Linked DNA regions of Drosophila melanogaster. The protein of the gene in region 1 purifies or fractionates together with the protein of each later gene. This does not show direct contact. Each region holds a gene or a part of one and is shown on either strand. Other genes may lie near its edges.

Region 1 (6,323 bases):
ATGTCAATCCTTTCGGTGGCCTTTTGCTGTAGAGTTTGCTTCAGCGCCTCCTCGGACTTTTCATGTTGTTCCAGCTCCGCAATGGATTGCTCTAGCAGCAGCTCTTGCGTCTGGGCTTTCTCCAGCAGATTCTCGCCGCCAACGAGAATTTTACCTTCCAATGAGACTAGTTTATTGCGAAGTGTTTCCTGCTCCGTCTTAGCATGCTCGATTTCCTTCTGATGCTCGTTTTTGCGCTTGGCCAGTTCCTCCTTTTCGGCATCGGTTTTCTCGCGCTTCTTCTTGGGTTTTTTCTCCACAGCCTGGATCGTTGATGATTCCAATTCGATCTCCAGTGGTGCCTCCAGTTCGTCATCTGCTGTATCCTCCTCCTCTTCGGAGCTCGGTGGCTCCTCCTCCAAGCTGTCGCCCTCCTCCAATTGCTTGCGAAGTCGGGCAATCTCCTCCTGAAAGTGACGAAGCAAAGCATCCTTGGGTTCCTCATTGATGTGCATGCGATTTTGGATATTCTTAGCACGACTAGCATAGCGAAGTGTGGATATAGTTTCCATATAATTGCTATCCGCTGGACTAATGGTGGCACACATGACGGTCTTGGAGTTACCACCGAGGGAGTCCTGCAGAAGTCGAGTTAACTTGGAGTTCCGATACGGTATGTGGGTGCTTTTTCCATCCACCAAAGCACTGATCACATTTCCCAGCACCGATAGCGAAAGATTAATCTTGGTGGCCTCTTTAAGTCTCTGTCCACTGGCCTGGGTCTTCGACTGCCTTTCGGAGCCGGCGAGATCCACCAGCTGTAGTTTACCCATCCTTACGTGCTGGACATCACCTTCGCCCAGCTCACTTCTCTCCACAGTAATGGAGAAAATGGCATGGGAGCGGGAGCTCTCCTGGTTCATTTTGGTGGCTCCCACGGCACGATTTTTGTTACCCAAACGCATGATGTTCTCCAGATCATCGGCGTTGTGCACCACATAGCCACTGAGATCCTTAACAAAGACACCGATGTCCGGTCGCTCCTTGACCTCCAGGCTCTTGCCCACATCCTTGCCCAGTAGATCCCGCACCTCTTCGTTATAGATCTCCATGTAGCTGACGCGCACCAGGAACTTCTGATTCTCCTTGGCCTTAGCAATGTGACCAAAGATGTGCGCAAATGCATTCGGAATGATGCCCTTTGTTTGCGGCGAATCCGGATTCCCCGACATGGTATACGTCTTGCCGGTGCCCGTTTGTCCGTAGGCCAAGATGGTGCCATTATAGCCCTCCAGCACCTTGTCCACAATCGGACGAGCGGTGTCCACATAGAGATCCATTTGATTGGAGCCACCATCGAATACATTGTCGAAGTAGTACGTTTTCGGCGGTTCATTGGCGGTGGCATTCGGTTTCATCACCGTAATGGCCCGGTTGATCTTATCCACCGAAATCGCACTTAGCGCTCCCGCGGACAACTCATTTTTGTCCATGGGTCGCGTTCGCACCACCACACGCACATTCTCGATTTCGTCATCGAGTTGGGCCGTTGTTCCCGCATTTGCCTCCTCCTGCGGCATGGCGATCTACGTCCTGGCTTTATTCCTCGTCTAGTGAAAGCTATTAACCACTATTTGCGCTGACCGCACTTAGTGGAAATCAATAAAGGGGGTTTTTTCTCGCATTTGTTTATGCGTTGCTAGGTTTTTTTTGTTGGCGAATCATTAACGGGTGGTCAGCTGTTATCGATAAGTGTGCGAAAAACGGGCGAGAAGGATGCCAGACCAGCGGAAAAATCTATTCATCAGTGAGACAAAATAATTTTATATATTTTTTTTTAAATAATATATATATAAAAACAATTAGCAAAAATAAAAATAAAATTATAATATTGACCTGTGATATAAGCAATCGAAGGTTATTTTGTGAACTGCGATAATTGTACTTATTTTTACTTTTTGAAAATCCTTTTTCAAGGCTTTTAAGAATTTTATAGATATTTCGAAAAGAATTCAATAATAAAAATTAAAATCTTTTTTTGTGATAACAGCGCAGTGAAACATGAAAAATTACATAACAGCAACCAAAAATTTGGCTAAGGCTAAGGCAGCTGTTTTTAGAGCTGTTCTGTCAACTTATCTTATGAAATCATCAAGTGGTTTCTAAAAAATCAAAAAATCCAACTTAATGTCAACAAGTAGTTCCAATTAGATTATGAAGTATTTTGAATCAACAAGTTGGAAAACCGTAAATTCGAAGATATAATAAAGAACATGAAAGAAAAAAAAAACACTAAAAGCAATTAAGGTACACTGTGTAACAAATATTTATTAAAAAAGAAAAAAATAAAAAGTGATATTTTAAATGTATTATTTAAATTATACATACATTAATATCATATTATAAATAAATATCATACAGTAAATAAAAAAATAATAATAAAATAAAATTAAAATATCTGTTTAAAAATACCAAAATATCGCCCCCGCCGATTCCGATTCGCTGGCAAACGAGCGAGTTGCCCACCACCACCTCCGCGAGAGAGCAGCGAAGAAGAGGAAGACGTTGTGGCAGTGGTACTGAAAGATTGATTCGATTGGCGATTGGCTGCCCGCAGAGTTTCCTTAAACGACCAGACGACGCAGAAATTAAAACTCCGGCCACCATGGCAGCGACATTGCGAAGATTCCATGGCTTGAGATTGCTGAAATCCGCGCCAGCACTCAGCCTGCAGCAGGTAAAGATCGTGAACGGCGGATGCAAGTTTTTCAACAGCCACCGCAGCACCTTGAAGGAGTCGTGTGTCCGATGGAGAAAAACATGAAATAATACCGTAAAACATAAAATACAAGGACCAATGGTGCACTCTAGGTGGCACAGTGAGTGGTATCCGCAATTCCAATGGGATTAAATGAACTCGGATACGAACCGAACAATCCAATTATGTAACTCCGTGCAAAAATTCTTACTCTCCTTGGCCGAACATCCAAACTAAATGACATCCGTTCTTTTTGCAGGCGAAGAACCTCTCCTCCGCCGGCAGCTGGGCCAGTGGCAACAAGAAGGTAAGTCAGCTAGTCAGGAATCTCACATATTCCCCCACTTCGCATTTCATAATACCCGATCGGACCTAACCTCAAAACGCGTTTGCTTCTCGGTGACTGTGTGCGGCTGTATGTGCGTGTGTGTGCATCACGAACAGCTGATCGGCGCCTTGGGAGCAATCACCGGCGGAGTGGGCGCCCTTATCTACGCCCTGGAGCAGTCCGTGCAGGCATCTGGCGGCGAGGTGCACTCCCCCGCGCAACTCTGGAACCACAAGGGCCTCTTCGACGCTTTGGACCACCAGAGGTAATCCAAAAAACGGCGGTTAAACTGATCAGTGGTCGGGAACTGGGCATTTCCATCTGTGGTGGAGCTAACTAAGTGCATTTCTAGTGAATTGGTTTAGATTGCTGTCAAATTTCAAAAAGAGTTCTTTAATGATTAGAGAGATTTTGTTTGAAGTATTTTATTTTATCTCAAACTCGCCAATACAAATATCATATTCAATTTAGAAAACGTAGCCAATTTTCCCGGCAAATCTTCTGTAATCTTTAAAAACTGATAACAACTATAGATTAACAACAATACTTTGCTCATAAAAGCTAATCAGAACAGCAACTAGCAGAACATAGAAGATTAATGGATTGTTAAATGGGGATTTTAGTTAAAATTAAAGATATTAAAGAATGTTTTGTAGTATCTGCATATAAGATGGCATTTGCCCACTGACCCTGCTATCCAGTTAGTAACATCATCTCAATTCCTACTTTCAGCGTTCGTCGCGGCTACGAGGTGTACAAGCAGGTGTGCTCCGCCTGCCACTCGATGCAATACATTGCCTACCGCAATCTGGTTGGTGTCACCCACACCGAAGCCGAGGCTAAGGCTGAAGCCGAGCAGATCACGGTGGGTATTCGAATTTTTAGATTTCTAGATCTAAATGTTTCCTAATTGATTTGAATGTCCCCGTTACAGGTCAAGGACGGTCCCGATGATACCGGCAACTACTACACTCGTCCTGGCAAGCTGTCGGACTACTTCCCATCGCCGTATCCCAACGAGGAGGCGGCCCGTGCTGCCAACAACGGTGCTTATCCTCCGGATCTGAGCTACATCGTGTCGGCCCGCAAGGGCGGAGAGGATTACATCTTCTCGCTGCTCACGGGCTACCATGATGCTCCTGCCGGAGTGGTGCTGCGCGAGGGTCAGTACTTCAACCCGTACTTCCCGGGCGGTGCCATTTCCATGGCGCAGGTTTTGTACAACGAGGTGGGTGGCTGATCAAATACTAGTTCTATATTTTCCTTCTCAGAAAGAAACTAATGATTTGAAAACGATATAAGAGAACACGATTGCAATCTTTAATGATTATCCCCTTTCCAGGTCATCGAGTACGAGGACGGCACACCGCCGACGCAGAGCCAGCTGGCCAAGGACGTGGCCACTTTCCTGAAGTGGACTTCCGAGCCGGAGCACGACGATCGCAAGCAGCTGCTGATCAAGGTGATTGGCATCCTTGGCTTCCTGACCGTCATCTCGTATTACATTAAGCGGCACAAGTGGTCGTCGCTCAAGTCGCGGAAGATTGTGTTCGTGCCCAAGGAGAAGTAGAATGTTTGAATTTGATTTTGATGGTGTGAAGAAATGCAGTGTTATCGCGGCTTTACCGACTAATAAAGATAAATCAATTTTAAGCAAAAACCAAAACCACACACAAGTGAACAAGCAACATCCGCAACCACCAAGTCAATGTTCTCTCCGCTGAAAAATATAAACACAAATACTATCCCAATATGCGAGAGCCAGCCAACCAAACGATTCAAAATAAAACTAAATAGCTAAATCTAAAACATCCTTGGTAACCTACTGATGGTAACCAAACAAAGATCGGATCGGAAGATTCAATGAGCGGGGGATTGAGGCTACAAAGACTACAGGAGCCTAGCGAAATGATTGATGGATAATGTGACATTGATTGTGTATAGAATCGATAAATCAATTATGTATTTAAAACAATAAACAATTGACAAATAAACGGAAATGATGGTTGGTTGGAAAATCATTTCTAGGCGGGACATCAAAATGTTTCAATTTGTTACTTGATTTTGTTTTGTTTATAAGTTTTTAAGTAACCCCACTAGATTACATGGATACACTACGTTTTATTGGATTAATTGTTTTATTTAGAAGCTTAAATTAAAGTATTATTTTAATCATCGTTCATCGTTCTGTCCGCTCGATTTGCTCATCGGCTTAGTGTGTGTGTGTTTCTATATATATATATATATATCTATAATTTCCACAATTCAATGATTATAAATCGCGTCCCTCGTCCCAAGCGATTCGGGAGGAAGATTTTCGAAAGAATAGAATATAAAATCAACTACAAAATCGCTTCATCAATGATAAACAAAAAAAAAAAACGTTCGTACTGGCGCCGTCTACAAAAATTGTGTTCGACATGTTGGTTTTATTTAAATTAATATATATTTTGCTTTATGTATATAATTAATAAATTTTTAGTTTAGGCAAAAAAAAACAATAATTACGCTCGGATCTCACGCTGTGATCTTGATTAATCGTTATCATTGTTATGCATTACTTTTCTGTTCGATTAGTTTACGAATTTTCGATTTGAAGTTTTGAATCTGAAACATTCAGGCATTTAACTTGTTTCTTTTGCTGCTGTTTTATTTCTTATTCAAAAGAAGTTCTCATATTTTCGTTTCGTTTTGTTTGGGGACTGAAGTTGAAGTAGTAAGAAGAGTAAGGTAACCAAACACGATGACATAGTTCATGACGGAAGGGACGACGACGACCTCTTCATAGTGACGCTCCTATCGCATTTTTCGCTGCTGTTCCCTTTACTTATAGTATATAGCTTGCATTTGGTTGTTGTTCTTGCCACAATAACCGCACTCGATCTTTATTACGTTCATTAATAAGCATACGCTGCCACCGATGGCAACTCGGCGGAGCAGCCGCCACACAATCTCTTTTTAATTCCACGCACGTGTGGCCACCTTGGTCTTGGACTTTTGGACTGATGATGGTGGTTCGTTTTCCGGCTCTTACTGGGTGTGGATGCTGCTCCCGCTCGCGTTGCATTCGATGCTGTTGCAGCTGCTGCTGGTGTTGCTAACGGATGTTGTCGACTAAAAACAGCTACCTTCTGGCGGCTGTGCCAGCTTCAGGTTCTCTTTCATGGTCATAATCCTACGGATTTCCTGCAGCATCGTTTTTATATTGTACTCGCGACTCCATCTGGCCAACATCTGAACTGATCTATGATCAACCTG
Region 2 (4,339 bases), about 12 Mb from region 1:
TCCGATTTGATTCTGGAGTGGGAGCCGCACACGCCCATCTCCTTTGACCCGGAAATGAGGCTCACTGAGTACAATATGGCCCAGTTCTGGCACAACACTACGATTGTGCAGTCGGATGGGGACAATCTGCGGCATGGAGCTTTTGGTTAGCATACGAGGTGTTTGTTGGAGGAATATTTCTTAATACTGTTTCCTTGCAGCTGGTAACTATAGTTCGCTGAGCTTTACGGTCAATCTGAAGCGAGAAATTGGCTTCTATTTGCTCGACTATTACCTGCCCTCCATGATGATCGTGGCCATCTCTTGGGTGTCCTTCTGGCTTCAGGCGGACGCATCTCCTCCAAGGATTATGCTGGGTAATTACATTTAAATACTATTAACTTAAGCAACATTTCGTATTCGAAATCCATAATTAATTTGTTGACCTGCAACACAGTGCGTATGTGTTATATTCATTTAGAACATTGCGCATACGTCATGTTGAGTCATAGAATAAATGATTGCTTAAATTAAAGGAATAATTACAACATCTTAGAAAGAATTTAGTAACTCGAAATGATTATGATATGACTCACTTGTAACTAATATCCAATGCTCTTAGGAACCAGCACCATGTTGTCGTTCATCACGCTTTCCTCATCGCAGAGCAAGAACCTGCCCAAGGTGAGCTACATAAAGGTGTCGGAGGTGTGGTTCCTGGGCTGCACCTTCTTCATCTTCGGCAGCCTGGTGGAGTTTGCCTTTGTCAACACCATTTGGCGCCGCAAGGAGAACATTGAGCTGAAGAAGGTCAACAGCAAGTACATCATAAAATCCACATTGACACCACGACCGGCCCGCCGTCAAATTGGCGGAAGTTTGAGCAACGAGTCCAGGGCTAGATCGTGTTCCAGTTTGGACAACATTGTTTCCAGCACGGAGAGCGTGCGCAATGGCAATGGCACTGTGAATCAGGGCTTCAACAACTATTTGACAGTGCATGTAAGTACTCCAGATCGATGTCTTTCATGAGCTTTCTGTATTTTAACATTTCTCATGTCCTTAGCCCAATTTACCCATCATAAGAACGGAGTGCGCCGAGGCAGATACAGTGTCTATCTGCAGTGCGCGTACGAACAACGATCATATCGTGGATGTGGACAAGGATAAAAAGGACACGCCGCCCACCTTTACCACCATGACACCGCAGGAGATCGCCATGTGGATAGACCGGCGGTCGCGATTTCTTTTTCCGGCCATGTTCCTCGCCTTCAACGCTCTGTATTGGACCTTCGTCTATGTTTTGTAAGCGGATGTAGGCAGATGCCGCCGTTTATGTGAAATCTTGTCTATTTGCGTAGTCCTGATCGCGCAAATAATTGTTAAAGTGTAAGATGCATCATCTCATAGCTGTATAAATGTTAATCATTAATAAAGGTATAAACTATATCTCAACATTCGTATAAAAGGCTAATAATGGCAGGAAAAGTATTCTTGCTTGACAACTCATTTTAATCTAATGCATTTTGAATACAATAAAATTATTTATATGATATTTTACATATATTGAGATGAATGTGCCATCTTTAGTGGGCAAGTTTGAATACTTTGTATGCCTAATCACAGAAAATGAAGTTAAAAAGATAAGTAGCCCTCGATTTTACAATTCCATGTGTCTATTCTGTCTATTAATTTGAATAAATATAATCTTTTCGTTCACGAAATTTAAGTTTTTAAGCCGCTCACATATTTTATTACGGCAAAGGTAAGCAATTATGTTTTACATTATTTTATTGTTATATTTTAATAAGAATCCACTAATAGTTTAAAGATCCGCTATCCACACAAATTAGGTTCAAGTCCACGCTGAAAGTCTACAAAGTTACACATTCTGGTGGTGGCCTGCACTTAGCTTCTGTCCAAGACATCAATCTTAAAAAGCGGCACTTTTAGGACATTTTTCAAAAATAAAGCCTAACTGCTTGGTATGTTCAAGCGGCCCGTCCACGGTCACACTGGTTGAGACGAGTCGAGAGGAAATTGCAGCGTAAAAGTCGAATTTCAAGGTAAAAATTTGGCATCATAATCGGTACAATGGCAGGTGCTGGCTCTAAAAATATGCACAATTATGGGCTGCCAAAAGTGCAGAGATCGCGCCCAGTGTTAGACGTACTCGGCCGCCTTCATCCGCGGAGCAGTGCGAAAATTACATAACCTCCGGGTGCAGCAAATATAGGAGCACCACCTAGGCCATAATGTTTATAATAACGATCTGTGTCTTCATACAAATCCTGGTGCACTTCCTCTGCGGTTGCTAATCAAAGCTTTCCCCATCCGCAGCCCCACAACCATGCGTCTATCCTCGATCCTGAATGGCCAGCATTTTGGCAACTTGGCCAAGGTGCACGGCATCGTCACCTACAAGCTGTCGCCCTTCGAGCAGCGCGCCTTCGCTGGAGCGATCAGCAAGGGACTGCCCAACATGGTGCGTCGCTTCCGCTCCAACGTCTTCATCGTTACTCCCCGTAAGTAAATCGCTCAGGATTCCCGTCGAATCGTATTCTAATACCCAATTTTTCAGCCTTCATCGTGGGATACCTGATCTACGATCTGACCGAACGCAAGCACACCGCCCTGCTGCGCAAGAACCCCGCTGACTACGCGAACGACGAATAAGCGTCCCAACTAGCAGATAGTTATGTTAAACTAATTAATAAAACTAAACCCACAGTTCAAGAGAGTTGTGTGTTTCGGTTGCTGGAAGGCTAAACACCAAAGGCTTTGTACTCATACGTTACACATGGGATAATTTTATGTTCTATTTTATCAGTTTTATTGCTCTGTTTGCTAAACAATTCTAGAGAGAATTTGTTTTTCTGGATGAGCAGCTGCATCAGCTGTTCCCCAGTCTTGGTTTGAGTCCAAGCTATCTCGCCCTGCAATGTCTCAAAATAAAATAACAAAAAATTCATATGATGAGAATTTCAAAGAAAAAACACGACATGGAGGCAATATATTACGTTTTAATAATAAAATAAAAATTTTACTTGTTTTTAATATTCGGTAACGGTCTTAGCATTGATAGTCACCCGCTAGAGTTGCAGAGAATCAATCATCGAAAGTCACCCGAAACAATCGATGAGTGAGAAAAGTAAATAGCCCCACCTCTAGCCACCGCACAGCTGTTTGCAAGCAAAATATTGGCGTTCTAATTGGTTATTGATCCGATATTAGTGCATTAATGGACTGCTGCGGTAACGAAGTGCGCAGCGAAAGTATCCACAACATGCTACAGGCCCTGGTGGACTCAAAGGTGGTCAACGTGCAGCTTTTGTCGATTGCCGTGGGCATTTTCTTCGTGGTCATGCTGCTGAAAAACAATTTTCGCAGCTTTTCTGTCACGTAGATGGATCCAGTTTAGTGTTTAATATATCTCATAATGTAATGTACGCTAAGGATTAATAATAACTACCACAAGCCACCTTGCATCTTGTTTCAGTTCTATGGTTTTTGGAGCACTCCTCGAGGCAGTGACGTCACGTACATTATATGTGTAATATTTTGGGTGCTAGAACGTACTCGTGCTTTTTTCGGTCTCAGGGTCATCGTGTTATTTCGTAGGTGTTTGCACAACAACACGCCCAACCCCAAAAATATAATTGTTTTCGAAGGCCGGGTGAACTGGTTTGACTGCCCCCGAGACTTCCACGGATCGTGCAAAAAAAAAGAAGAAAAAAATAGAGCCCAGAATTTGTTAATTTCATCATCAGGCGACTGTGATTCTTGGCAAGCTGTCTTGCGATAAGATAGGTTATTCGAATACTCGAAGTAAGTCCTACTTGGAACAGGCATTCTCATCCAAAAACTGTTGAACTTTTGCCCCAATTGCCGGAGTAGAAGCCATATCCAATCACACTCAATTGCTATCCACAAACGATTCCAATTGACCGGCGATTGATTGCCCAATGTCTGCACGCACTTCCTGGTGCAGCATTAGAATTCAATAGACGCCCGACTTCAGCTGGCTCCATTCTGCAATCCCGTACTGACTCATTGCCCGGCACTTTCAGAATTTATGCAATACTGCGGTACGTGCTCTTATGCTAAAATATTGCATTAGAACACCCAGCGAACGTGACTTGATTGCAGGGCTAGAAATAGCAGCACTACCTTTAAGCCCTCGGATAAGCCACTGAGACAAGTCTACCTATTCTTCTGATTAGTGTTGCTTATACGAACATGAAGGATCCCATAAATATTCTTAAACATCAACTGATAGTCCTGCAACTGTCTAATCCTTCATATAGCCTGAAAATCTACCTAACTTCACAGCTTACTAATATAAACAAAAAAGTTACAT
Region 3 (3,639 bases), about 20 Mb from region 1:
GAAGGTATGTCTAAAGAAATCAGAACCTACAACAAGAAATGTCTAAAATGCAAAAAAATAAAATAACTAAGCATACGGAAAACCCCAATAACAGAAACCCCCTATGCTTTCGACAAAGTAATAGTGGGTAATATAGGTCCTCCTCTACCAAAGTCGGATAATGGTAATGAGTCTTCAGTCACCTTTATTTGTAACTTAACTAAATATTTAGTTGCAATACCAATACTATATAAGATCGCAAGTCGCTAATTCAATTTTCGAATCCTTTATCCTGACTTACGGTCCATTGAAAACGTTCATGGGTACAGAGTATAAGCACTCAATAATCAACGATTTTTGCAAAAATTTTAAAATTAAAAATTTAACATTTACCGCTCACCACCATCTGAAAACTTATCAGTTGAATACATATCAGTTGATAAAACTGATTGGGACCTGTGGCTTCAGAATTTCGTACATTGTTTTATACAACCCGTTCTATAGTTTCCATATAGTTTTTGGCAGAGCAGCCGATTTATCATATAGGAAAGAAGGAAAGTAAATGAAGATTGGAAGTACCATATAAGAAAACTAGAACTATGCATGAAGAGTATAAATGAAAGAATAATGAAAATAATGACTTACACATAACAAAATAAAAATAGCAGTGGGAGATAGTTTTGTTATGAAATTAAGTAACTAAACAAAAAACAAGTAGTTCATAATTACACGTTAAAACTTTTTTATTCATAGTTGATGGCATCACTTAATGAAAACAATATCAATAAAAATAAACTAAAATAAAAAAGAAGCCCACTCAGTAAACTCATATTACTTTACTCAATACAAATACTTCAATGTATTATAAATATATACATACGTACAGACACATTTGCAGCGCAAATGCATTGCATAAGCGCTGGCAATGGAAAACATGGGCAAATGGTTCCACCTTTTAAATTTCGAAAATTCGATATCGGAATATCGAAAAAAACTGGCACCAGAATGTCAAAGAATAGTCAGTAGGGTCTGTTATGTTTTGGGGATGCGTAGCCTTCACTGTCTTGGGAGATTTGGTTCCTGTTGATGGACACATGAATCAAATAAAATATTTAGATGTCCTTAATAATAATGATGATGAATTGATTGGAGAGTCCTTCATACTCCAGCATGATAATGCTCCCTGTTATAAGACCAAACTGATTACTGTTTCTGAAAAATGTTTGCATAAAAACATTGGATTGGCCACCTCAAATTCCAGCCCTCAACTTAATAGAATACCCTTGGTTTAGTATTAAAACAAAGGCGTGCAAATACTTATGCCCACTAGTGTAGTATTACCTACCCAATTTCGCTTCTAAAAGGTTCTGATCACCAAAAGGCACAAAACACGTATAAAACTCGATAAAGAGATTTGTTTATTTATGTTCTTATTTTTAAGCACTGCCCTTCCCTTTAATGGAATTGACTTTAATGGTATTTACTTAAGCTTTGTAAAAAGACTGTGCGAAACGCAATGATCTAACTCAGCAACATAGTCAAATAATTCTTCGATGCAAGTCTCAGTTGTTTTGGATCGCCCATTAACACGATCATTGCACTCTTGGTACTTATTGTACAAGGATTCTATGTGACCTTTAGCTTGACATTTTTCCTGTTGCATAAAAATCAGTTTAGTGTTATATTAAATGATGTAAAGAAATCTTTTTTACCCTTAAAACTGCTTGAGGGTCAACTAAGTCCTCTTCGTCATCAGCTCTGACGGCGGGAAGCGAAAACCAGTTCCTAAAAGCCATTATTAATGCTAAAAAGAGAATAAACTAGTCAGAATTCAAAAACATATATAGTACCAAATTTTATGAATATGAACGTAAATTACATTTTTGAAAAATAACTATAACCTTTAAGACCGCTATGATGCAATCACAATGTATTTTATGTATGCCTGAATTATGAGGGCCAGACCAACAAAAACAGATTATTTTATGCATATATATCAATTAGCTAAGCTTATAGCCTAGCCCCAATAGAATACATCTTTATGAACCGTTTGCAATTTTACCTAGATGTTAAAATCTGTTCACACAAGGTACAATCAAAGCAATTAAAATAATTTTTGGCCAGTTGTCCGCCGTGACGGGGGTCAGATAATTTTTTTTAGGCTATAAACTTTTATTTAAAACTTTTCATAATTTTTTCCTGATTCCCTTGATACATGTTTTTGGAGGCAAACATTTAAAAATGACGTGGTGTTTTTAAAACGAAATTCAATCAGCTAAAAGCTGATAAAAAAAGTGGATAAAATATCTACTGAAAATTAATAATTACTAATTCGTTGTGGGCCAGAGTTGTCTTCTCTGTCTTTTTGGTTCTTTTTGCTCTAGTTTTTAAACAATAACTAATTAAAAGCAATCAAATAAATATATGCTTAAGTGATAGAAAGTTTTCATAAAACTGATGCGAAAACTTCTTTATTGATATATACAACTATGCGTGTTCTCTATAAAATTACACACACAAATAAAATTTGTATTGAATAGTTGTTGTAATTTGTATTTGAATAGGAACCATAGTGTGGTAAAAAGCAGAATAAAAAGACCTAAAATATTTGAAACTAACCTTAATTTTTTTATTAGTATGCGCGAGTACCTTCTTCAACCCGTGGACCATCCGCTCGCATACGCCTCCTGCCCGGCATTGAAATTTTCATTCCATTTAATTTGATGACAGTTCGTTCTACATCTTCTCCGTTTTGACTCCTCAATCTGGCCACCGGTCCACGGCAGCTTATAAAATTCCTCAGTGCGACTGTCGACAATTCCTGGGCCATCTTTAGACCCCGACTGCTGCTTCCCTGAAGTACACACACTTCCGACAGGAACGTGTACTGCAAGAAACCTTGAAGCAGCTCCTAATCCCGGGACTTGGCTGCGTCATTATAGATTACGTAGATTATACGTATTTTGGTAGGTTCATTTGGATTTTCGACACCGAAGTGTGGCAGACACTGTCACTGTCACTGTACGTATCATCTTGACATAGCCATTTTCAATTTCTCTGTATGCTGTCAATGTTGATGACCCTCATATTATAGCTGCCTGTCAGCCTCACCTCGTAATTCTTCCATAGCAGACCAGTTAAGGATTGTAAGCCCACAGTAAACTAAATTCCATCAATCCTACAGAACCGCGCCATATGTCCCTTTTCTAAGCACAGAAAATAGATTCGATGCTTCTTTGCAAAGTTTATTCGAGACATTAGAGACGCATGAGTAAACAAAGACACTAGAATAATTTTAAAAAATGAGGAAAACCTAAAATGGTTCAAAAGTGTGTTTTGGGCGTTTTGTTTGTGTTTGCGTGACCAAAGTGTCTTTGGTATGCCGATTAAAATGCCGGAAGACAAACAATAAAACGAAGAAGAATCAAACATTTTTCAATGGTAAGGTCGGTTTTGGGCGGTTTGTTCACGCTAGAGTGGGCATGGCAAAACTTTTTTTTTTGCAAAATCGATAAAAGACTAATATTAATACGAAATAATATAAAAACATTTTTAAAAAGTGTGGGCGAGGCAGTTTTTGGCGGTTTGTGGGCGTGGCAAAAAGTTTTTAGGAATACCGTTAGAAATTTACAAAACTAATACTGTTTAACTAATAAGCTC

What was found. The genes of interacting proteins can lie anywhere in the genome.
Region 2: the proteins of Cyt-c1 (region 1) and UQCR-Q fractionate together in Drosophila melanogaster (co-fractionation; one study listed by BioGRID). This does not show direct contact.
Region 3: the proteins of Cyt-c1 (region 1) and UQCR-11 fractionate together in Drosophila melanogaster (co-fractionation; one study listed by BioGRID). This does not show direct contact.

The regions. Positions count from the first base shown.
Region 1 is NT_037436.4:5,357,696-5,364,018, forward strand, and holds Cyt-c1 (cytochrome c1), read left to right. Parts: upstream 1-2,515; 5' UTR 2,516-2,644; coding exon 2,645-2,716; intron 2,717-2,996; coding exon 2,997-3,044; intron 3,045-3,181; coding exon 3,182-3,330; intron 3,331-3,797; coding exon 3,798-3,930; intron 3,931-3,999; coding exon 4,000-4,293; intron 4,294-4,407; coding exon 4,408-4,635; 3' UTR 4,636-5,103; downstream 5,104-6,323. Other genes in the region: Klp64D (Kinesin-like protein at 64D), read right to left, coding at 1-1,559; Uev1A (Ubiquitin-conjugating enzyme variant 1A), read right to left, coding at 6,180-6,320.
Region 2 is NT_037436.4:17,473,091-17,477,429, forward strand, and holds UQCR-Q (Ubiquinol-cytochrome c reductase ubiquinone-binding protein), read left to right. Parts: upstream 1-1,958; 5' UTR 1,959-2,045; intron 2,046-2,129; exon of another isoform or gene 2,130-2,234; coding exon of another isoform or gene 2,235-2,297; exon of another isoform or gene 2,298-2,319; 5' UTR 2,320-2,329; coding exon 2,330-2,504; intron 2,505-2,560; coding exon 2,561-2,655; 3' UTR 2,656-3,034; downstream 3,035-4,339. Other genes in the region: SecCl (secretory chloride channel), read left to right, coding at 1-145, 201-356, 602-981, 1,046-1,288; CG46525 (uncharacterized protein), read left to right, coding at 2,235-2,297; CG34250 (uncharacterized protein), read left to right, coding at 3,221-3,381, 3,479-3,536.
Region 3 is NT_037436.4:25,119,038-25,122,676, reverse strand, and holds UQCR-11 (Ubiquinol-cytochrome c reductase 11 kDa subunit), read right to left. Parts: upstream 1,929-3,639; 5' UTR 1,859-1,928; intron 1,800-1,858; 5' UTR 1,776-1,799; coding exon 1,692-1,775; intron 1,634-1,691; coding exon 1,460-1,633; 3' UTR 1,306-1,459; downstream 1-1,305.